Drosophila melanogaster: one gene and its partner. The protein of the gene in region 1 interacts with the protein of each later gene in a pairwise test. Each region holds a gene or a part of one and is shown on either strand. Other genes may lie near its edges.

Region 1 (10,797 bases):
CACTGTTCACTGGCACAGAAGCACATTTCGATCACCATGATAGCGATATATGTATATATTTAGGTGATTTTATATATAGCTACTTTTGTTTACATCAGTTGACCCAGAGGGCGACACACACGGACACCTGTTTGTTGTTTCTTATGAATCGGTTTTGGCCATTCAGTTGCCGGCTTCCAAGCGATTCGAATTGCGGTTTACGGATCGGGGCTGACGAGATCTTGAAAAAGCCAAAACAACATCACAAATGCACGCCGCAAACTCAACTGACTGAAAATCGAAATGCAAACGAATTTTCATCTCTGCTGATTTTTAGACTCTTTTTCCCAATCTCTTGGCGTCTCGAGAGCGCCCCATACCGCCCACATATATATGTAAGTTTGCTTCCAAGCTCTCCGGCCGCTCGAGAGATCAGATCTTTGAAGAGATATGATCGAGCAACATGTGCACATGCGATCATCAAATGGACCAGCATACGACAATGGGCATGGGAACATGAATGGGAATCCAGAGTGGTTATGGGAATGAAAATGAAAATGAAAAGAGGAAAATGGGAAAATGGAACTGTCTGCTCGGACTGAGAGCAGTTCGCGTGCTTGCTGCACGTGTTGTTGTCTAATTTATTTTTAAATCAATCTACTCTCACCACTCGGCACCCTCATTAAAGTTGCAATCGGGATCGTCGGTCTGACACACTTTGGGGCGATGATCGACATATCGAAAGGGATCACCAAGTTGTTGACAATCTTAGGGGCTTTTCTTTTGGTAGTTTCGGGTTGATGATCTCTAGAGACTCTTGATAAAATATATACATCTTTCTTGATCTTTGTTTGGGTAATTTAAATCAAACCAAACTTCATAGATAGATTAAGTTGATAGTCAACAAAAGATACAGAATAGAAATTATCCATATTTTTTAAGTATAGAACCCCTCAACCATATAGAGCCATATGTTTGAGATACTACGACAACTTAGATAAAACCTTTTACTCATAAAAAACCCTACTACTACTGCTTGTGAGTTTTGTGCTTTGGGAATTTATGGCTGTGATATTAGTTTGTTTGCTTTGCTTTTTATAAATAATACACACCTCCACATGGCCCCAACCATCGGCGTTCATTTTGGCGGCTGCCTCGACACTTTCCTTGGCGCCCATTGTTTTGTTTTCGTTTTAGGATCGCGTTCAGTTTGGTTGATGTTTTCCCAGGGAAATTGTATCGCCACACGCTTTGGCTATGCTTCTTTTGTTAGCCCCTAACCGCTGAGTGCTCTTTCAGGACTCCGAATTCAGGACTCTGGGCAGCTGTCAGATGTTATTTATTTTGGGCCCCAGCGGAGGACCAGGAGCGTCTGCGTTGTGAGGGCCGCAAAACTCGTGGGCCTGGAGACTCGGTTCAATGTATAAATATTGAGCGGATTGACGTTGACGTCGCTCCTGCTGTCGCGAACACACGCGCGCACACACACACTGGCGCAAGCAAAGGACTCGCTCTCTCGTTTTCCTTTTTGTTTTTTGTGTTTGCTGAGAGAGAGAGAGAGAGAGGGATGCTGTGGCCGTTGAAGGCGGCTTTCAATCGACTTTCGTCGGGTTGAACGTGGTGCTGACGTTGAAAGCAGTTAAATAATAGAACAGGAGCACGTCCTGCCCGTCCGTATGTGTGAGTGCGTGCGTGTGTGTGTGTGATATATCCTGCTGGTATGTCCTGGCCTATATGGCGTATACGTATGTCGAGTGTATTATTTATGCAGCAGAATGTTCTTTGCTGATACTGCTGTTTTCTTCTGCTTCTCTAGAGAGTTTTACTCCTTTGTTTGTCCTTTATTTTTGCTCTGCGTTTTCCTGTAGTCAGTTTTTCACTTGGTGCTTATTAACGGTGCGTATGATTAACTTTTGTATAGCTTAGTTGATTTTATCTTTTGTAGTTAGGGATTTTCCTCTTGCTTTAGTGCCTGCGATTAGGATATAATTTGAAATTTTGTTACGGATCTGTTGTTTTATCCTGTGGCCTTTGATTTGGCAACGCCTTTCGCGGCCCACCGAAAAAATGTTCGTTTTTGGCCTGCTTTTTTCGTATGTTTTCGAAACTAATTTCGTTAATTATTAACTGATCACTTTTCACTTTATTTTTAGGAATTTTCGGTGTGTCTGAGTTCGATTTTCGACTGGAAATAACGAGATATTCCGTTTTTCGACACGAAACCGAGAAGGATGAAGGCGCTGTGTATTTTCGTGTAGCCAAAATACCTACAAAACTTGACGAAGCCCAAACGAAATGTTTTCACTTGACGAAACGGGAGAGCAAAGCGGTGGCGAGAAGAGAAAGCGGGCAAGAGCGTAGAAAGAGAGCAAAGTAGAGCAGGAGATGAGCGTCGAATTACAGCGACAGCCGAAAATTGCTGCCCCTCCCCCTCTCCGACACTCCTCTTTCTTCTCCCACAGGCTTATATTTTAATTTCGATTTCTTTCTTGGTTTTCCGTCGTTATCCTTTATTTTGTATGCCCTCAGCCTCTGCTTCTTCTTCTGCCTCTGCTCCTGCTTCTCTCCCTGCGAGTGTGTGTGTGTGTGTGTGTGTGTGTGTTGGCTTAGCTTAGAGGTATGTGCAGTGGCTTCAACGCCCCCTTCACCCCTCTCTTTTCGCTGCGTGTGTGCCTCAAAAAAGTTGCATAAATCACCACACCTTAATTTACTTAAATGTCTTTTCTTGTTGCGGAATGTTTGTTGCTTGAATTTTACTTGATTAATTCATTTTCGTCTGCCTCGTGGGCGTTTTATCCACTGGGGCTGAAAAGTATGCTACGCTCTTTCCGCTTTTTCAAATGGCTTTTCTTAGGATTTTTCTTATTATTTCAGCTGGTTTTTATACTTAGTTATTTTCTATTTTTTGTGAAGCTAGTTAAAAGCTTTATTTTGTTTATATTAGTATTTTTTGGAAGCAAGAAAAAGCGACAAAACACAACCGTCGACGTCGACTTCGAAATTCGTTTTGAGTCGCTCAAATGCAGAGGGATGCTGCGACGCCGACTGCGCAGTCGACCGCGACATCGCTGCAACTGTTGGAATGTGTGCCACACACACACACACATACTCTCGGTATTTTTTTTGTTTTTGGGGTGGCTTAGCTCTTGTTGTTTTTGGCCTTTCGTTACATGTGCTGCTGTGTGCGAAAGTTTTAATGTCTCCCCAATGCATATGTGTATGTGTGTGTGATTTGGCGTACGTGTGTGTTAATGTAATATTAATGTTATAATTTGCTAGGCGGAAAGGACAACGAACGTGCCGAGTTAGCGACATTAATAATGCAGCCAAAAAACATAAAGGATAAAGGCCAGTGAATTTAAAGGGGGGCTTGGTGATAGGGCTGGCTTAGTGGTGTGAGGGGGTGGTGTCTTTTCTTTTCCATCATGACAATCAAGCTAAAAAATTTCCGATTAAAGGATCAAGCCTCTCTTTTCCAACACTGGCCCACCAGGCAAAAGTTCTTGAACAGCACGTTTCCCGACAAAGTAAAAGTGAAAAGCAACATCAAAATTAATAAGTAGAAAGGATGCTGACGCTCGCGTCGCTGTCGCTGTCGGCAGTGGCAGCGGCCGCAGTAGCGGCAGAGGCAAAACCAAAGAGAGCAAAGGTCCTTATACCCCTGCGCCAATTCAATATTTATCGAAGCTTTCGTTGAGTTAAAACAGCGACCAGCTGCAGCTTCTCTAACGGTAATTATTCGCTCTAGCCGCTTGCACTTCAAAGTTTTTAAAGGTTTAACAAATGTTTTTGCATATTTTGAATATTGTTAACAACTCGTTTTAATTAGCAAGAAATACTTGAAAATTGTATTTCAGAAATAGGCGTGGCATCAAAGCTCGAGCCGCCCACTCGCATCGGTTAAATACCGTTATCTCTTGCTGCCTCCAAAAGACGTCATTAGAAAACTGCAGTTTGCAGCTGACGTCGGCAGAGGCGGCAGCAGAGCTCCAGACGCACGTCACAAAGTCTTGGAAAAAGTACATATTTAAAAATCAACAAAAAAGCCAGCTTAAAAGTTAACCAAAAGTCAAAAAATAAAATATTGTATCTCGGCTCGCATATGCATTAATTGGCCGCCTATATGTACGGTATGTACATATGTGTGTACTTGGCTTTTGTTGTTGCGTAAGGTTTTTAGGGCAACTAGAGGGTGTGGTTTAGGGTTGCCAAAAACTAAAAGGCTTTAAAGGCTAAGGGTTGACCCTCGGAAATGAATATGAACTGCATTTGATGGGAAAATAGCGCTAATATATTTTAATCAGACACTAAAACACTTGAACAAATATTTAATTGATGTTAAGGCTCCATTTTGAGAGGGTGTGGTTGCTGCGCAGCTTCCGCTGCTCATCCTTATTTAGGTGGCGTGGCAACCCTAACATCTGTTTTCCGGCCAACCTGCAATCTCTTGCACCTTTTCATCTCGATTCATGTTTTTATGAATGAACGGCCGCAAACATCAACAAGAGGGAAAGCTTTTTGCTGACAGCAAAACAACAAAAACGGGTGTACTAAAAGCTATAATGCCTTAAATCGTACGATTATAGTTTATTGGGCATAGGATGTTATAAAATTCTTAATTACTTTAAAACTACATAACTATGATCGTAAAAATTACAAGTTATCTGTAATTAATACAGTAATATGGCGTACCCGAATTGCTTGCAGAAAAGTAAATATTAATATTCATATTTTTAATTAAGTTTCATTTTTGTTAAAGCTTACGAATTTGACTAATATTAAGTACAATGCTTTTCACAATAATAACCGCGAAATTCAAAAAAAGTACTAGAAAATACCACAAAATGAGCTAGTTTCCTATCGCACATCGCCCATCGATAGCTCAGTGTTGGTAAAGGCTACAAGGCATCTATCGATATCGTCCGAAGAGGAGGAAGCAATTTGCGGACTCGAGTTTGAAAATAAGCAATTAAGTAAATAATAAATAATAGGAAATGCTGGAAACCGGTGACGAGGCTGAGATGCTGGCCGGTTTCACCAGTTCAGATGTTGGCCCCGAGGCGAAGGGTAACTATATAAGCAGACCCAGAAACTTCGAAATTCCCACTGCATCTTCGCAATAATATGTTAATGTTCATGTTTCTTCTGCAGAATATAATTTACTGCGCGCCGATGAGGAATACCGCAATGGCAATGTGGAGCACTCAATTTACTACCAGGTTAAAGCCCAGTTCCAGTCCACCGATCTGCGTTACCTTACCGAATCGGCGGAACTGGAAAATCAGCGTCCCACCGCAGAGGAGCTGATCAAATCAGCCACTAAACTGGAGAAAAAGGACTACAAAAGGTGATATATAAACTAACTAAACTCTTTTAAAACTCAAACAAACATTACCAACATTATTCTTAGCAAAAAATTTCTGCAGAACATCATCAAGTACCTCCAGCAAATGGAGCAGGAGAAACAGCCAAAGAAGCCAATCAACGAAATACCAGAGTATCTAGACTTCCTGGATGATGTCCAGGATCCTACAGAGGGTCTAACTCGCATTTCAGAGAAATGCAATAGTCTGCCCCAAGAATGGTGTGTCCTCCAGCTCTGCAAGAGCTTTAATCCCGCCACCACCTACTCCGTTTTCAATGAGATCATTGCCAGCGATGGAGCAATATATCTCACTCTGCTCCGACACTGTAGAAGTTCCCAACTGGGACCGATTTGCCTGAAAATTTCCAACGAAAATACGGCAAATCTCTTTCGAGAGTATAGCACTCTGGTGGAAAGATTTAGGCGAGTGGTAACCGTGGATCCACTCAACATGAAAGGTAAAGAGGCTAAGCAGAAGTATTGGGAGGAGCTGAATGGTTTTGACACTTTTCAGCAAGTAAGTACTACACATTAATATCAATGTATCTTATTAGCATTACTTTACCTCTTCTAGAAACTACTTGCCGACTTTCGGGACATAATATCTCCATATTCCTTTCTGTTCTTTGGCAAAAGATATGACTGCACTGTTGTTCAAAAACAAATCAAAGCCACCTATACTCGTGTTGACGATTTCTGTCTGCTTAATCAATGGGGTACCCACCAACGTGTTTTACTTTCCCAAGCGGCCTCGCATGCCAATCGACTGGAAATCGCAGATCTCAAACTCATCTGCTATGAGCTGTCGAGCAACGAAAATGAGATCCAGTCGGCATACGAATTGCTTAAGGGTTTGGCCAGCGACTGGGCGGAAGTGGAGGAGCGTCAGCCCCTGGCGAGCAGAAGATTTCCCATCATCCTGGTAGTCGATGAGGTAGTTCATCTGAATTTCTATACTATAATACATACTACTATATTATTTATGTAGCGTCTAGACCACCTCCATTGGGAACAACTAGTCACCGTGCAGGAATTCTCCCGCGTCAAATCACTGCATTGCCTATGGCGCTTGTTCCAGAATCACAAATCAAACATAAAGCATGGCTACTACACAACAAATATTAAACGTGGCATGTGTGTAATAAACCCAGATGCGGATTTGGTCAACTCCGGCCGCAGGCTGCGTAGCTTTTTTGAGTACTGGCTCTCCCAGTGGCAGCATCTTTTTGAAACCGTGCCCAATGAGGAGGTGATGGTGAAACAGGCGCTACAGGCGGATTGCTTTGTGTAAGATATGATTGCAAGCGAACAATGGCATTCTAATACTTTTGCCTTAAATTTTAGATACGCAGGTCACGGTTCTGGGCTGCAGTACGTCAATGGTCGCATAATTTGCCGGGCTCGGGTACGCAGCGTTGTTTTTCTATTCGGCTGCGATTCTACACGCATGTTGGGCACGGGCCTGTACAGCGCATTGTATGGAGCCCATGATTATTACCATGGAGCTCTGTGTCCTTCGATAGTTGGTACTCTCATGCCCGCCTTGGATGGTAATATGGATACTGTTTCGGTGACAATATTGAGTCGTTGGTTGGCCCCGGGGGATAACAAAGTGATTCCGTGGACACATATTGATCGGGTGCCTTGGCTCAAAAATGGCATTATAAAAGGTAATGTCTTATTTATATTATTAAGTTACATATTTAAGGAATTCTTTTAAATTTAGGAAAAGATGAAACCACGCCCACCATGAACGATCAACCCAACTACCATCTGGGCAGCCTGTGCTCTATCCTATCTCTCGTACAGCAAGGAAAAGTGGAGCCGAATATCTACAACTGCTGCATTTACGTGTGCCGCGGACTTCCCGCATGGAATTTGGCCGTGGAAAAGCTGCCTTTATAGCTCATTTCGTCGTGGAGTCGATCTCCCTAAGCAAAGTTTTGCGTATGGAACTGTGTACAATAATTTAATTTAATTGAACTACTTCATTCAAGTGGAAAGTGGTGCTCAAAGTTTGCATTAAACGCTAAATGTAACACTCAGAATAGTAAAAATAAACTAAACATTTATATATTAGGAAGAAATTCCAAGGCACTTACCTTTTCTTAGTTTATTTGGAAGATTGAGTGATGTTTCCTTATGGATTTAGCACTTTAACTGAAGTGTCCTTGATTTCGGTTAAGTTTTTAGTTTTAAGTAGAAGTTTTAAACATGTTTAGACTTTGTACATTGTGTTGTTGGAACTTTAAACCGTTTGAGAACTATTTAGATTAATTGATTTAGGTTAGAGTTTTCGTTTTCCTTAGTTGGAATCATGCCAGATACAGAGTACAGATTCATTCTTACATTTGCCTGTGCAAGAGTAGGGAGTGAAAAACATTAATTCGAGTACAAATCGCAATGTGGGTGAGGTAAAGTAAAAAAGTGAAAGTGTGGTGCAAACGACAGTCAGAGAGAAAGATATTGAGTGAAGGAAACATTGAGAATTTATAAAAATGCAATATAATTGAAATGCGAGTGGGGATTAGGCTAAACCCTCGTCCACGGGGCGAATGTGCAATAATGCCTGAATGCCCAGAAACGCCCATATATTTATTTACTCGCACTCGTACTCGGGCTTGTCGCCCAGTTTGCTCTCCAAAAACGCGACTCATCTCACCTCGTTCCCATCCTCGTCCTCGGGTTGCCCTTTTGGCCAGAGCTTTTCCCCCACCGAACCTGCGGCGACCTCCAATCGCCCAGCATCGCATCTACTTGACCTACTAACGCCTGTCGCATTATGACACACATTCGTTAATTAGGCCCAACCCAATAACTTCTTTTCTTCCCAGCCATCTAATCGCCGAGCGCGCGGCGTATGCGTAATATGCGTGTGTTTTTCTTTTTTTGTGTTACGGCCTCGATTTGCATGCCATAAAAAAAGGCAGACACACCTTGGCGCGTCCCTATTTTTATGATTTACCAATAGCTGGGATGGGCGGCCAGTGTCCTTCGTCCTTCGTCGTGGTGTCTCAATGCCGTGCCCATGCAGCGAGTTAAATCAAATTAGCACCCGTAGGGGCAGCAAATCCGAGGTGCATGCCATGCCACACCCCCAAAACACACACACACGCAAACAGACACACACTCACACGTACGCGAGAATCGCGAAATCGAGAAATGGGGACAGGGAACAAGGAACAAGGACTTGGAACATGACAGGAGACAGCGTCAGAAGGAGGATATTACATAACAGGCGCTCCCCATGTAAATCTGGTTGTAAATTCCCAGTGTGTGTGTGTGTGTGTGTTTGTGTGCCTCTGGGTGTGTTGGTGTTGTTGTGCTCTTGTGTGTGCTTGTGTGTGGGTACGAGTGGTTGTGGTTTGGCCCAAATGAATATGCGATGACGTTGACGTTGCTATTGTTATTGTTATTGTTTTCTATCAGTGGATGCTGATGCTTTATTATTGTTTGCCCAGTTAAAAAGGTAATTTTCTCATTTTCTTTTAACCTTGAACTCTTAGTTTTCGCCAGCATTTTTCCTTTCCATATTTGTATAACTTATGCGTTGAAAAACTGTTTTCATTTTATGCCAAAAAAAAAAAATTGTACAAACTTTTTCCGTTTACTTTGTGTAATTTTAATTTTTTTAATGGTTTTTTTTTTGGTTTTGGGGTTTGTGGGTTTTTGAAAATTTGTTGCTGAAACGCTTTGTTAACTTTGTTGAAATTCTTTTAGTTGTCTAAGTTATTGTTTTTGGTTAAGTTTGATAATTGGACTTGAGGGTCCTTTATTTTTGGGTCTTCATATTTTTCTGTGTTAATATGGTGTAAATGTAAATTCCGCCGCGTTGCACACAACAATTCTCTGGCAGAGATCAACTGAGACTGAGCTCGACGCTGGCCTTAGTTGCATCCTTTTGGGTATCCTGCTCCTGCTTCCTTGGCGAAGGACAAAAATCGCGAGAGAGCGAGCCCGAACAAAATGTTGCAAACTAAACCACAACAAAAACAGCCAAAAGGGCCAAGAGCCAAGAGGCAGAGAGGCAGCTGGAGAAAAAGAGAGAGAGAAAAAGAGAGCGACCAAAAAAAGGCAGGACTTTCCCTTTCCCTGCTCCTCCTGGCCATGTCCTCGCCCAATCCGTTTGTTGTTGCTGCTGCTCACTATGTTTCACTTTCAGGGGGTGGTGGGTGCTGACTTTAGCGCCGGGAGCGGCGGGTTTCAGGTTTCCAAGCTTACACAGTGATTCTGCGTTTTCATGGTGATTCCATTTGTAGCTGTTTGTTGTTGCCCCAAGGAAAGCTCCATTGTTGTCAGTGGCCACGTGACTCGCGACCAGGACTTTCTTATCAGCACAGAGCTTTTAGTTCGGCCCCAGGGTGCAAAAGCTCCGATTTCAAAAAACAGACCAAGGGATGCTCTCTAGCTTAATTCGTTTACTTGGGATCTAGTGAAAAACCTTAGCAACTATGGTTCCTAGAAAATAATGTTAAAATAGAAAATAAACTTAGGATAGGATGGTTTTCGGGGCGCGTCTCTTCCCGCTAATATCTAAGTGTAGTAGCTAGTTTTGTTGTACGTGGGTTTCTTTGATTTGATGCGTGTTTTTTCTTAGATTTCCATTTTGTACTTGTCAAGGAAGTTTCTAACTTCCAACTACCAGTCCAAGATCCAAGGACTTCCTAGGTGGCCTCCTCGCTCTTCTCTTGGGCTGCACTGCTGCTGCTATTGTTGCTTATGCTTTTGCTATTACTGTGGCTTTGGGTCTGCGAAACGATGTGGGCTTAGTCCTCGAAATGGGGCTGTGGAATCGTAGAGGAGCACTTACCACATTCTTGTGCGGGCAGTCGGCATGGAGATGGTCTTCTCCACGGCAGCGATGACAGCGCTTCGGCTGAGGACCCAAAGCGCATTCGGAGGCAATGTGATTGGCGAATTCGCCGCAGTTGTAGCAGCGCATGCGGCGAGTCCGGCGATTTCTGTTGGGTGGTTGGTGGGTAGGTGGTGAAAATGGGGAAAATTAGTTAAACGATTGGGTATGAGCTCACATTCGCGGCCTGTAGGTGCTGCCTTGGCAGCTACCGCCATGCCTGCTGGACACCCTGGTGGCCTCCAATCCGCGCGACGTGCGCTGGCACTCGAATTCCACCTCCTCCTGCTCGCCCAGTGATCGGAAACCTGACATCTGGATGACGCTCTATATGCATACGTTTATAATGAGAATTATATTGAATTAATGCATTAAATATTAAATTATTATACCGATTTTCCATATTCTATCGGATAGTACATAAGGCCTTGCATTAAGGAAAGACCTCAGTTTCATCCAAGAAAGAGAGTACCCACCTGATGGACGAACACCTCCTGGCCGCCGTCGTTGGGTGTAAGGAAGCCCCATCCCTTGGCCACGTTGAACCATTTGCATTTGCCCAGTCGCACACAACCGCATTCCTCGGTGGGACTCGCAAGAT
Region 2 (12,943 bases), on another chromosome or scaffold:
CCATCCCGCTCCCGCCCACTCGAAGTGGCAAAGAAATGCAGGCGAAAAGACAAAGCCGCTGATTAATAAACATGCGCTCTGGCTGGCCGGCCAGCCTACTCAATCTCAATCAGCGGTCACCCAACCGCCCAGCCACCCACTGCCCGCCCAAAATGCACCCCACAACAGCGAAGTCAGCAGAAGACAAAAAATAGCAACGTATACACACTCATTCGCGCCTAAGTCAAAGCCAAACGCTGTGTGCATTCATTTCCACTCATTTGCTCAAATACAGTAGACACTCTCTACTGTTAGCTATATTTTAGATCATTTGCATTCCCCACTTTGGTGCTTACTAGATCGATCAATAGATCGAGCACAACCGAATTCTTAGCCGTGAATTTCATACGAACATTTTTTTCATTTCCAATTTTTATAAATTATACCTTTGGGGAAGTGCCACTTTGTTTCCTTTCCAAGAGTTAAATTTTTTGTTTAAACTACACCATATCCATAAAAAGATTCTTAACATAGTTAAATTGATTCCATTACCAAAAACATGATTTTGAAGTTCATCAAACAATAAGTTATTTATATTACAAAGTATATCAAACCGAATACAGATTAGGTTTTGCAGTCAGTTTTTATTTACAATTTTATATTTTCATATTCAATTTTGTTGATAATTATTAAAAATTGTGTTGAGCTACAGTTAATTTTCTTTTAGGATATACCAAGATTCTTGCCACTTAGAAATAAAATAAATTTGAACCATAATTCAGGTTAGAAAGTGTCCGCTGTAAGCACATAACTGTTTCTCGGCTAGACAGAGACGGACAGACGGACTCTGAAGGCACCCATTTTGTTTCTTTGTTGTTGGTTTTGTTGTGGCGTCGTGACATATTGATAATTGGGTAATCTGAAGTGAACTTGCACAGCCTCCAAAAGGCGTACGTTGTGTACATTTATTCATTTGTAGATTATCAGACCACAAAACACCACCCACTCTCACCCCCACCCACTATTCGCAGACAGGCGCAACAACTAAACTACGTCACGGTCAACCATGTTGTTGTTGTTTTGTTGCTGCGAGTGCCGGCTAGTCTTGTTGTTCCCCTGCCATCTCCCTTCCACTTCTTGATAATTCCGTTTTGCTCGTCATTCTTCTCTTTGCGCATTCTGCTTTGTGTCGAAGCACACGCACACATACACACGCTTGTGGCACACACACATATATTGGGGTTACATAAACGCGAGTTGGCACTTTTTCCTCGTCGCCTGCATTACAAAAATATGCAATTTGGCGATGGAGCAGCAGCAATGTTTACCAAGTCATTTGCATTAACGCCAAATTGGTTATTTTGCATGTAATTTCGTTTTGCATTTCAACAAAAAAAAATTTCTCAGCGTTTGATCGATTTTTGCGTATGTATTGTTCTCCATTTTTTTTTTCTGTTCGCTTTGCGTCAAAAAATGTTACAAATGTGACCAGACTGCGAGGCTTGAATATTCCACAATGAATACATCAAATATACCAAAATAATCGGTATCGTTTGTTCTTGTCTTCAATAACTAATATCGATAAGTAATAATTGGTTTAAAAATTATTCAAAACTCGTTTCATATAAATAAAATGAACTACTTCTAATTTATGTATTTACTCTCAACCCTATTATAACCTAGATCACAGAGCTGAATCTGGACAACTGCCGTAGTACAAGCATCGTTGGCCTTACAGATGAATACACAGCCTTGGAATCGCTTAGCTTGATCAACGTGGGTCTCACCACACTGAAAGGTTTCCCCAAGCTGCCCAATTTAAAGAAGCTCGAACTGTCCGACAATCGGATTTCGAGTGGCCTCAACTATCTGACCACTAGCCCCAAACTGCAATATCTCAACTTGTCTGGCAACAAGATAAAGGATCTGGAAACCCTGAAGCCCCTGGAGGAGTTTAAAAATCTGGTTGTTCTGGATTTGTTTAATAACGACGCTACTCAAGTGGATAATTACCGCGAGAAGATCTTCAAGATGTTGCCATCGTTAAATTTCCTAGATGGGTGAGTTTGAGTAACTTCTTTCTATTGTAGAACAATAAAAGTAACTTCTTGACCACTTCCAGATTTGATTGCAACGACGAGGAGGTGCAATCTGATGGCGATGATGATGATGAGGTCAACGGCAACGATTCCGACGAAGTGGGAGGTGTGTATTCGACGTATTTATAGAGACCAAAGATTAAATCGCAGAATTCAGGAGTTTTTTTTTTATAAAAGATTTCCATGTAACCACCATTAAAATTCCATTGTCCGTCTGTTTAACTTAATCGCTTATTGTGAATCGCGCTTTCTTCGTATTAACAATAATATCATATACTCAACCGTGGCTTTTGTCGCCTTTCAGATAAGTGCAATGCATTCTGTTTAAATGGTTTAGAGATCGATTTAGACGAGCTCGAGGCTTTCGAGAAGCGGGTTAAGGCGAAAAAAAGTTTGCAGGACAAACCACCTCCCCAATCGGAGGACAAAGAAGTAGACGAATTAGATGAATACTTGAAAGAGTTGCAGCTAAGGGAATCTACTGATGCTTCAACCGATGAACAATCTGTGATAAATGCCACACCGCAGCCTCCTAGCAATTCTAACTTAAGTTTTGTAATCCTGCTGTATTGGTTCCTTGCCATTTTAAATTTGGGCAGTGCTACATATTGTAAGCATAACGTTTCTGAACTTTTCTTCAGTATTAGTCGAACTTCTCTAACTCGAAAATGCTGCAGAAAAAGTAAAGATTCTCTTACCCACAAGAAGCGTTATAGTAGTTCGTAGGTTTGTTGATCTCAATTCCGTTGAACACATTAAAAAATCGATTTAGGGAAGTTCGAGATGTACAAACAAGCAAGTTGGTTTAATCAAATTTACCTTTGATTTTTCAGTTTCCGACGAAGATGACGACAGCGATGATAGCGACGAAGAGGCGAATGGTGAAGTGTCCCTGTCGGAGGTGTACAATGACGATTTGGAAGAGGATAACTCTGATTGGGAAGGCGAAGACGAGGCTGGCGAGGAGGACGAGGAAGAGGATTCCGATATTGATGATGCCGATGGTGATGCAAACGAATCGGCTGCATCAGTGAATGCCAAGGACAAGGATGGCGAAAAGGAAGCAGGTAAGTTCAATTATTTATATCCCAGACAGCATTAGTTCTTAATGCCATATATTTTCCTTTTTTTCTTTCCAGACGAGTCGCAAGTCAGAGGCAAGAAGAGAAAGCATGATGGTTAAAACCCTGATCTGTCGGTATAGCGTCTTTGTACGTTATAAATTTAAATATACACCCACACACAAAACAAAAACACACACACACATCATATTTTGATAGAAAAAGATGATAAATCCTTTAGGAAACCCACAATTTGTTTCTCTAAAATGTAAGCTAATGAAAGAAGAAATCGACAAAAAGAAAAAACAACAAACAACCCAAACAAAGAGGAGCATAATGAACGTAATAATCAAACAAAGCTAAACAAGAAAAAAATACATGTTTAAGCGAGAAAAATCGAGGAGGAATGCAAAGGAAACCAAGCAAACAACCAATTAAGCAAGTCGCATTAGTATAGCCTCATCCGAGCCCAAGTTCCAGTTTCATTTTAAACACCTTCGCCATCTTCAGGATTCGCAACATGAAATCCAAATCACTATGTTAAAGATTACACAATTACAACGTGTACAATTTTTAGCCATCCAGCAGCATCTTGTTTTCAAATTTCAATCAGTCACGAAAATCAAACAATAGCTTTCCGGCGTTATTTGAACAACTGCGGATTTGTCAACGTTTCGCGTGAAAACGATCACACAATTTACTGCTAAGAACTTTTAACTAACTCTTAAGTCATTCCTTCTTTAAATACGCATAAGTTAAGCATCCTACTTCGCCCACTTTCTGCTCAAGGCGATTTAAACACACTTACATTGTTACCCATCACCCACCTCCCAGATACACAAACTTTATCTCCGCGTCATTCTGTAAACGTAGAGCACTCACTTTTGAGCAACCCGAATTGTTTACCTTTATATACTTTTAAGTGTACTTTTACCACATACCGAAATGTTTCCACTTATTCATTGGCAGTAGTGTTTTCATTAAATGTGGCGAGTAAATCTTATACACAAAACAATTTTAGACAAGACTTTTCATTTAATACACAAGTAATTAACCGATTATTATTAAAGCAGGCCCCGCGTTAATTTAACGAGATGAGATGTGTCTTTACCAGCCCATTGAAACTGAAATACATAAACTACATCATTTTAAAATTGTCTTTTACGGGGGAAAATGGGAAAATGATTTCTATTAAAGAGAAGAGCTTACGCATATGAGCGTATTTTTTTTTATTTAAATCTCGATATCAATAAAGCAACAAATTGTATCGTTATCGGAAATGAGCATGGAAGTTTAGTATTTTCCACAAGAATTTGTAGTATTTGTGTTCTGATATGAAAACTAGAGATATCGATGTTATCGTTAAAGGATTTCCAGCTTTAGCATGGACGGTCACACTGGATCTCAAAATCTGGCGCAAAGCAACAAAAAAGGAAGCGTCGCAGTTAAACTAGTTAAATGTGCCAATTCCCTTTGAAAAAATGTCTACTGATATAGCCACCCAGCTGAAGGGCAGCCGCTCCGATGTGGAAAAAGTCCGCAAAACGGTGGAAGCCAAATTCCGGGAGTTGTCTGGCGATGGACTACCTCTGAGATACGAAGTGAATGTATTGCGCCATATTTGCCTCGCCTTAAAGGATAATCTGCACCAGAACTCGGATCTTTACTGCGACATCATGGGCATAATGCTGCCACGCGTAGTTCCCTGCGAGGAGAAGCCAAGCTTATGGGAAGCGCACTTGTCCAGCCTGCGGTACATACATCATGGCTTGTTTCATCAGGTAGGAGTCGCTATAAGAATCTTCGAATCTTTCTAACCAATTCTCCCGTTCACAGCGATCCATTGAAGCCTGTCAGAAGCTGTACAACCTCATCCGACAACAACCCTGCCGTCTGCAAGAAGAATCAGACTACAAAATATATCTGGACATACATTTGACCCACTTCAATGGTTTCCATGTGCTGCTGCAGAAGCAAAAACTCCCCTTGGAAGCTACAAGTCAATTGTGTTATGCTTTGGAATCATTGGGAGATCTATTCGCAGCCATGACGCAAAGGCAAATAAGTCTATGCGCAACGCTTCTAGTTCAACTAAACGAGAGTTTATTTGGCAAAAGAAGTAGATCATTCTTCAAGTCCCTAAGCTTCCTGCCGTCGGAGAGTCTTGCCAAAATGTTCAACGCGCTGCTTATGCTCCTGGCCAGCAGCACCAGTTCGAACCTGGCCAACTTATTCCCTGAGTGCCTGAGTCTCACGTTGGCTCTCGTACAAATCGACATGTTCAGTCCACAGTCCAATCAACAGATGTCATTGCAGCTGCTGCGCATGAGCAAGGAACTATTTCGCCAGGAATCAAACCTGTGCTATGCTCTACAGCTGATGTACTACTATATCAAGTTAATCTTTGTTCGGGAACCCACAGGCGACTTTAAGCGCACCTACATTGACTTGTCTAGCAAGTTTCAGCACTTCTTCGAGCACAAAGTAGCCTCGCATGCCAAAGAACAGTGGCTAGCGGATTTTCTGGTGGCCATTCAATTGCTACAGGTGCTCATCCATCAAAGTAACAGTAAGTTGCAGAGTCCTTTTCAGATATTTTGGCAGCAGTTTGACGGAGAGAGCAGCCCCGATATCTACACAGCGCACTTTCAGTTGCTTCAGACGTGTGCTAGCTTGGCGGTTAATATTACGAGGAGTCCTTTGGGCTGCACTTGCTCCCACGAGGCATGCAAGAGCGTGCGACGGCACTGCATATTGGCGTATGGATTGTGCGCATTAGATGCGTATATTAATTGGAAACCGGCGGCGGAGCAGAAAACAAATGTGGTGGGTATTTTTATCTAATTTTGTGGAATTTTAATGCTACATTTCAATACTATTGCAGAGCCCTCACAAGCCCTTACTGGGAGTAGTCAAATACTCAATGGATGTAGCTAAGACCATGAAGTGTTTGGGTCCCACCAGTGTGGAGATCATTAAGCTAGTGCGCCAGCTGACATACGTGGCTGATCAGGTCACCTGTCCGGAGCAAATGTCCGTGCTGCTGCCACTTTTGGAGCCACTGCAGAAGCTGCGACCTTTGGTTGCCGACCAGGATATGAGCAGTTTACTCCGACGCCTCTTTAAGGCCAGCTCCCATTGCGGCGATTCCAATATAGCATGTCGAATTCAAGCCAGTTACTTGGCCTCGATTACGAATCCGGCACGATTAAGATCACAGGTCTGTTTGTACTATCACAATCTGGGAAAAAAGGGCACCGAGATCAAAAGGTGTGTCTACGAGTGGCACGAGTCCACGCCACTACCTTTCCCTCTCACTCCGGACCAGAAGAAACAGCTGTATGATACCGATTTCTTTGCCTTACTACACTATTTGAGGAGTCCTTCTACGGCTCATATGGAATCACTTATTCGTTGCCGAACGAGTGACTATCATCTGGTACTCTTGGCCAGACAAATGCGAAAGGATGACTCGATTTCGAAGAAATGCATAGAGGTTCATGATAAGCTAAGGCAACAACGTTCGCTCAGTCGAATGGATAACTTGTGCCTGGGCCACGCAAGTGTGGGACTACTACTGGACGCACTGGAGGCTCAAAAAACCAAAGTTTCCACCAAGGAGATAACGGAAAATATGTTCGAGGAGCTGCTACTCAGCAAGAATTTATGGCAGATGAACATACAAAGGGAGCAGCGATTGGTCAACTATGCTAGTGAAGCCATCTCGGCCTTCAGCAACTTCTTCGATCGAGCAGATCAAGAGCCATTGAGCGCAAATGAAACGTCTATTGATTGGGAGGCATTGATTGACGATGCCATCGCTACTGCCAATGCACTTTCAAGTATGGGGTATCAGTCAGAAGAGGATGATGCCTGGCTGTTGCTTCTGAGGATGGGTCGCTTGCTGGAAGATCGTTTTACCTATCTGCGTGCCCTAAATCATTTTCTGTCACAGAATGAGGTTAGTTCTCGTTTAAATCTGAAACTCGGCGAGGAAGTGGAAGTAGCAGAGGAATTGCTGGATGATTTGTGGCCTCAATTGAAAAATGGCAAATTCTTCAAGCGTCAGCAAACTACGGTAATGCTCTGTTTTTGTCACCTCGCCAGTTACTATGCCAGAATGGAATGCTATAGTCATGCCCAGTTGCTTCTATTGCATGTGGAACAACTTCGCGAAGAGTTTCCTGAGAGACAAGGAAAAAGTGATATTGTATTGCTTACACTGCAAACGGTGCGCTTTCGAATTGGGTATCAGCAAAGGAAGCCAACGAATTGCAGGCTGCCGACTCCTCTGCGTCAATTGGACATTCTTCTGGACAATGTGCGAAGTTTTTGCAATCTATCCAGTTTAGATGGCGGCTCATTGCAGCTGCTTCTTTCGACTCTTGTCAGGGAAAGCACCGAGTGCTCTGCGAACAGATTAAGCGAAAGACTGTCCTTCTCCAACATTGCACTACATTTGGTACTCCAATCTGGCTTGGCTTTAAGAGCCATAGAGGTATTCCTTGCATGGTTATGGACCAATTTGCAAATGGAAAGTTTCGACAAGGCGCAATCGAAGTTGAGACTCATCGAGCATTGTTTAGGTATAAAACAGCTGAATCCAACGAGTAGGCCGGAAAAGGAAGCGATTAAGGATGTAGCAATTAGAGATCTGGCTAGTAATATGCATCTCCTCCAGTTGGTGGAGCCGATCAGAAAGCAGCAGCTATTAAATATGGCCTCGCCGAATCTGCTCAAAATGCGACCACATAGCCCAAATCCCCAACTGGACTTGGATCGCTACATAACACTCGATGTGGCGCCAGCGAATCTTCGAGAGAATTCCCAGCTGCAATGCTTGTACTTTGTAACGGGCTGTCTACATGCACGTCTCCGCTTTCTGCAGAGAAACAGCGAACAATTGGACGAATTCTATGGAAGAGCGCATAGTTGGATGCAGGAAAAACCTCCGATGAGTAGCGCTTTGTATCCCATGTTGCATGCCCAGCAGCTGTATCATCTGAACTATCTTCGCTTTGCGCGAAAGCATGTAGAGGCTATATCAACGGCTCAATTGGGCCTTAAAATGCGATCACGCGCGGTCGACATTAACTTCGAGTACAATTTTTTGGCTCAGCTAAAGACGGCTCAGTTAGAACTCAAACCCGTGGGTCAGGATAAGCCACAGGTCAAAATCCTTCGACGTGCTTTGGTATTCAATCACTCACCCGAAGATAAGAAACGAACCGCAATAGGATCGGTTTCAGCAGTCAAGAATACGGCGTCTAAAGTTAAACAGTCGGCCAAAAAGGCACCTCGATTCAGAATTTACGAGGAGCTGGAACTACGACCACCAAGTGCTACCAGTTGCAGTAGCAGCGGTGGCAGCGGAACAGAGAATACACCGCCTTCGGATCACGTGGATCTAAATGCCTGCCAAGCGATCGAGATAAGCGACGATGACGATTCACCTTTGGTGTCCACAAAGAAGACACAACCAAAAAGTAGGGAGAAGGCAAAACCCAAGGCCACATCCAAAGCTTGTAAAGTCCTAACATTGGATAATAGCTTGGAAATAGTAGAAACGCCGACAATAACTACAAGTACACGGAGCACCAGAGCCAGGCTGCGCCAACCAGTAGAGACACCAAAGACAGCGACTCTTTCATCCAAGCGAACGAGGCGCCAGGTTTTGGAAGCACAGGCTCCCGAAACGGAGTCCATTAGCACACGCACACGGCATCGGCACTGATTAGATAGTAGTCTCCTTAGTTCGTATTTATTCTTATCGAAAATGTCTTGGTATTTAAATATATATATATATTGTGTGTAAGTGTTACAAAAGAGCTTTTGACATAAATTCATTGTTTTTATCTTGTGGCAGGGACAGTAGTGACGTTCTACAGATGTCCTTGCTCCAAAAACCGTGCTGAATCCGCTGTCCATTGCTGGCATGGTAAAATACACCTGAGCCCGATTTGCAGCCTCCTTCAAATTGACCCACGTAGCGATTTCCCGTTGCTATGGATAACATATTAACTTATTATCTATAATCTTTATGCATTTTTAAAGTTGCGAAAAAATAAATAAAATGAAACAAATACATCCAAAGGAACATATCTTATTTCTTTATCACACTCACCCGTGAAAAGTAAACCCTTTTCGTGCATCTTGTCCCGAAGCCACTCGCCCACATAGATGCCGCCATCCGCCTGCCATAGGATGCCCTCTCCACTTCGCTGGTCCGCTAGCCACTGACCAAAGTAGACGGATCCGTCCGGATAGAACTGCTTGCCCTCGCCACTCCGCTTGTTCTCCCGCCACTGACCCACGTAGATGCGTTCCATGCGGCCATCGAGCTCCTTGCGACGCAAACTTCCGATGCCATGCCGTTGACCCTTCTGCCAGTGACCCTCGTAGACAAGTCCACTGCTCGTTTGCTTTACCCCAAACCCGTGAGGCTGCTGGCCCAACCATTTGCCCTGGTACTGCCCACCAGGATAACGTTGAGAGCGAACTCCACTACTATATCCGCTCGTACGCGACGACATGTCTTCGATGACTGAGCGCGGGAGCAAGTCCGTCCAATTGCGGCGGTGCCATGTGGTGTCGTCCGACTTTAGGCGGCGGTGTGCGTGCGGTGGTGTCACTTGTCTAATCGAACCCCCCCAGCCAGCAGCAGCATGTCTTGCCACCATTTGGCTTCCTCCAGCAGCGACACGCTAACTTAAGGAGGCCAAAGACATTGGCTCAATAGAAAATCGTTTGTTCCGGTTAAGTGTATGTAGTAAAAATCGTTTAATCAGTCGTATATAAATTACAGCGCTATTTAGCTTACATCGGTAAAGATCGAAAATAGACTGTTATATTTTCCAAAACTATTGGAATACCTATGAATATAATTCGTATATAAATATTGCAGTACATTTTCAAATACTTTATTTTACAATTGTTTTATGTTGCATATAAAATATATCAAATTGTCTCTAAAATTTTGCATTCTTTTAATCCGCATCTATTGTTCAGCTATATATCACGATTAAAAATAAAACTCCAACACCATATATATAGAAAATTCTTTTAATCATAAATTATATGGTATAAATTACAGCGCGGTTTCGCTTACACAATTGGCTTAATATTAAATTTGACAATCAAGTTGTGTCTTAAACGTAAAAAGGGAAGACTGCCTAAGGATGGTTGCAAAAAAAGAAAATCCGGCATGGCATACAATTTAAAATACACGCAATATAAATATGTAACAAATATCAGCTAATTTTTTGAGGAATATTCATCCGAAGTATTGCTTTAATTGGGGTCTTTTATCATTGTCAATATCCGTGCTAATCCGCAATTGCCATAAGTAAAATAAAGGACTACAGCAGCACTCGCACATATATATATATATATAGTAGAAATCTACTGAATTCCGCGTATCACAATTTTAATCAACTACAAATTTACAATATGTGTGTTTCACTAAAAATAATCTGAAGCTTACCCTGAGCCGCTGTCTTTTTCGTTCGATCCACTTGTGCGGATACGCCAAGTGATGCTAGACAATGTCCCCGGATGCGCCATAGTTCATGCCATTATTTCGTATGTTATTGTGATGCTCCAAATGATCCTGCTCCATCTGCTCCTTGAGCATCTCCAGCTCACGGATGCCCGAGACTGTCACCTCATATTTGTGCGACACCAGGGAGCGATAGAAGTGAATGGCGAAGGCCATAAAGATGATCATCACCGGTATGAGGACCACACACGCTGACCAAGCCGCCGGCGGACTTAGGTCATAGAATTTCACCCAGCACAGGATGGCTATCTCCAGTAGAAAGAGTATGAGTCCCAGCAGCGTGGAGAATGCCCACGCCGTTTCAATGTACCAATGGAGACGCTCGTGTGGCGATTCGTGGACCAGGGAAATACTATGCAAATTACACACCGTCTCAATATTTGGCAGGATACAGGTGCTGATCATCAGGGCCAGCATGTGCACCGCCACCAGGAGGGTGGTGCAGATGGCGAAGGCTATCAGCATGCCCGGTGGTACATTCGTATCGTGATCCAGTTGCACCTCCACCATCGCCACCTATGTGAAAATTGCAAAAGTGAAGAAAGTCATTAATGATTTTTATTTAATTTTGGTTAGAAATCGAAACGATTCCCCGGCATCGCCTCTTATTATTATTAGCCATTTCTCGCGAGAACATTGCAAAATTGGCAAATAAGCAACTTTTCTCTTATATTATGTGATCTGAATGGACCTAATTTATCTGATCCGCCCCTAATGCCGCGCCTCCCTTTCTTCAGCATGCTAGGTGTACATGTGGAATGCATAACAAGTTGATGAACCAAAAAAAAAAAGCGACATATAAATACCTCGTCACTCAATTAATTAATATAATAATTCAGCACCTGCAATACTTGCACATTTTCCAATTGATTTATTTAATATTATGTACTGCATACTATAATTTAATAATTTATCTAGATTTAACTGTGTCGTGTGTGGAATTGCTAGACAATAAGTGGGAATTTTAACAATGCTGGGAAACCAACGAATGTATCATGATGTATGTTGATATTTGCTTTGATATTTGCTCCTCTTCAGCAAAACTGCTACAATATTGCAATAGTCTAAACTACCCATAATTAATGGGTGAGAAATACATACGAGTATATGCACGGCAAACAGCTAACAGACTTGTTTGGCCAAGAAAACGATAGTGGGAATAAAACGAAATCTATTTCGTTGGCCCTCAATTTCTTGCTGCCGGCATCGAAAATAATTATGTTGGTTAGCAATATTCACAGGTACAGAAGGCTAATTATTGATGTATGATATATATATATATATATACATATATATATATTTATATATCCCTGTCATGATTGAAATTACTTAAATGCGACTGCGAGTAGGTTAATGGGCACTCAAACGGAACAAATAACAGATTGCATTCCGTTGCGCGATACGCCAAGTGGAAACCACTCTTATTATAAAATAACAATAATTATTTTGTTACAGTGTATGCCATATTCGTGGTGGCATTTTCCGCCTTTTGTGCTGAACAAACAGAAATGCGATGTCCAAATAAAAAGATTATGTGGTTTTTGCCATCATTTCTGGCCCTGCACATTGAGTTGGCTTAATGTTAAAAAAAAAAACATAGAACTATAACCTAGGGCAAAAAAGTAGTTAAATTGTAGTCTACAAAATAGCCTAATAATTCCTAATTGTTTCATTTTAATACACATAAATGCCCAACTTAATGTGATTTTTGCGCCAAATCGCTTTTCCTTCGAAATGTAATTTATAATGGATTTTTATGTGCATTTCCAAGGTATCTATAAGTTAATTGCTCTTTTAGAGATTCAGTTTAAAACTAAACTAATTTGTTACATTATGTATCTTCGATGAAAAATTAGCTTTGTATAATGATGTTGCTTTGATATTTACGTACATTAATTTTAAAACAACAGTTGTCAATGTATTGTATAAACCCTTTGTAAAGTATAAAGTCTCAATAATTAAGAGTTTAAACTCACCATGGCGAATCCGGAGAGCAGGGCGGACGTCTTGCTGGATGCCTTTAGCTTGGCCCGACTAAGCTGGAGCTTCCGCCAGGACAGGTAGGTGGGCGAGTGGAGATCCTCGCCGGACTGCGACATGCTGCTGCTGGCGGTGCGATGGTGTCCGCGCGGCTGAAAGCGGTAGGATTGATTCTGTTGGTAGGTGCGCAACTGAAAGGGCGGCGGCTGGGCCGCAAATGGGGGCGATGCTATGGAGGCTAGTGGTGCTAGTGGCGCTATCGGTGC

Evidence for each region.
Region 2: the proteins of Sse (region 1) and thr interact in a two-hybrid assay, tested with the Drosophila melanogaster proteins (one study listed by BioGRID).

What each region holds. Positions count from the first base shown.
Region 1 is NT_037436.4:5,656,331-5,667,127, reverse strand, and holds Sse (separase), read left to right. Parts: upstream 1-4,880; 5' UTR 4,881-4,973; coding exon 4,974-5,046; intron 5,047-5,130; coding exon 5,131-5,326; intron 5,327-5,389; coding exon 5,390-5,861; intron 5,862-5,918; coding exon 5,919-6,278; intron 6,279-6,332; coding exon 6,333-6,631; intron 6,632-6,688; coding exon 6,689-7,014; intron 7,015-7,070; coding exon 7,071-7,249; 3' UTR 7,250-7,428; downstream 7,429-10,797. Other genes in the region: CG46320 (uncharacterized protein), read right to left, coding at 1,092-1,157; lin-28, read right to left, coding at 10,009-10,092, 10,155-10,305, 10,375-10,523, 10,673-10,797.
Region 2 is NT_033778.4:17,857,528-17,870,470, reverse strand, and holds thr (three rows), read left to right. Parts: upstream 1-4,507; 5' UTR 4,508-4,620; coding exon 4,621-4,920; intron 4,921-4,975; coding exon 4,976-5,965; intron 5,966-6,023; coding exon 6,024-8,873; 3' UTR 8,874-8,957; coding exon of another isoform or gene 8,958-9,142; 3' UTR 9,143-9,198; downstream 9,199-12,943. Other genes in the region: mapmodulin, read left to right, coding at 1,663-2,039, 2,102-2,184, 2,383-2,688, 2,912-3,145, 3,218-3,261; CG14490 (uncharacterized protein), read right to left, coding at 8,958-9,142, 9,264-9,672; orai, read right to left, coding at 10,677-11,213, 12,674-12,943. UniProt on the Drosophila melanogaster protein: Required specifically for chromosome disjunction during all mitoses; maternally provided protein is sufficient until mitosis 14 then zygotic protein is required.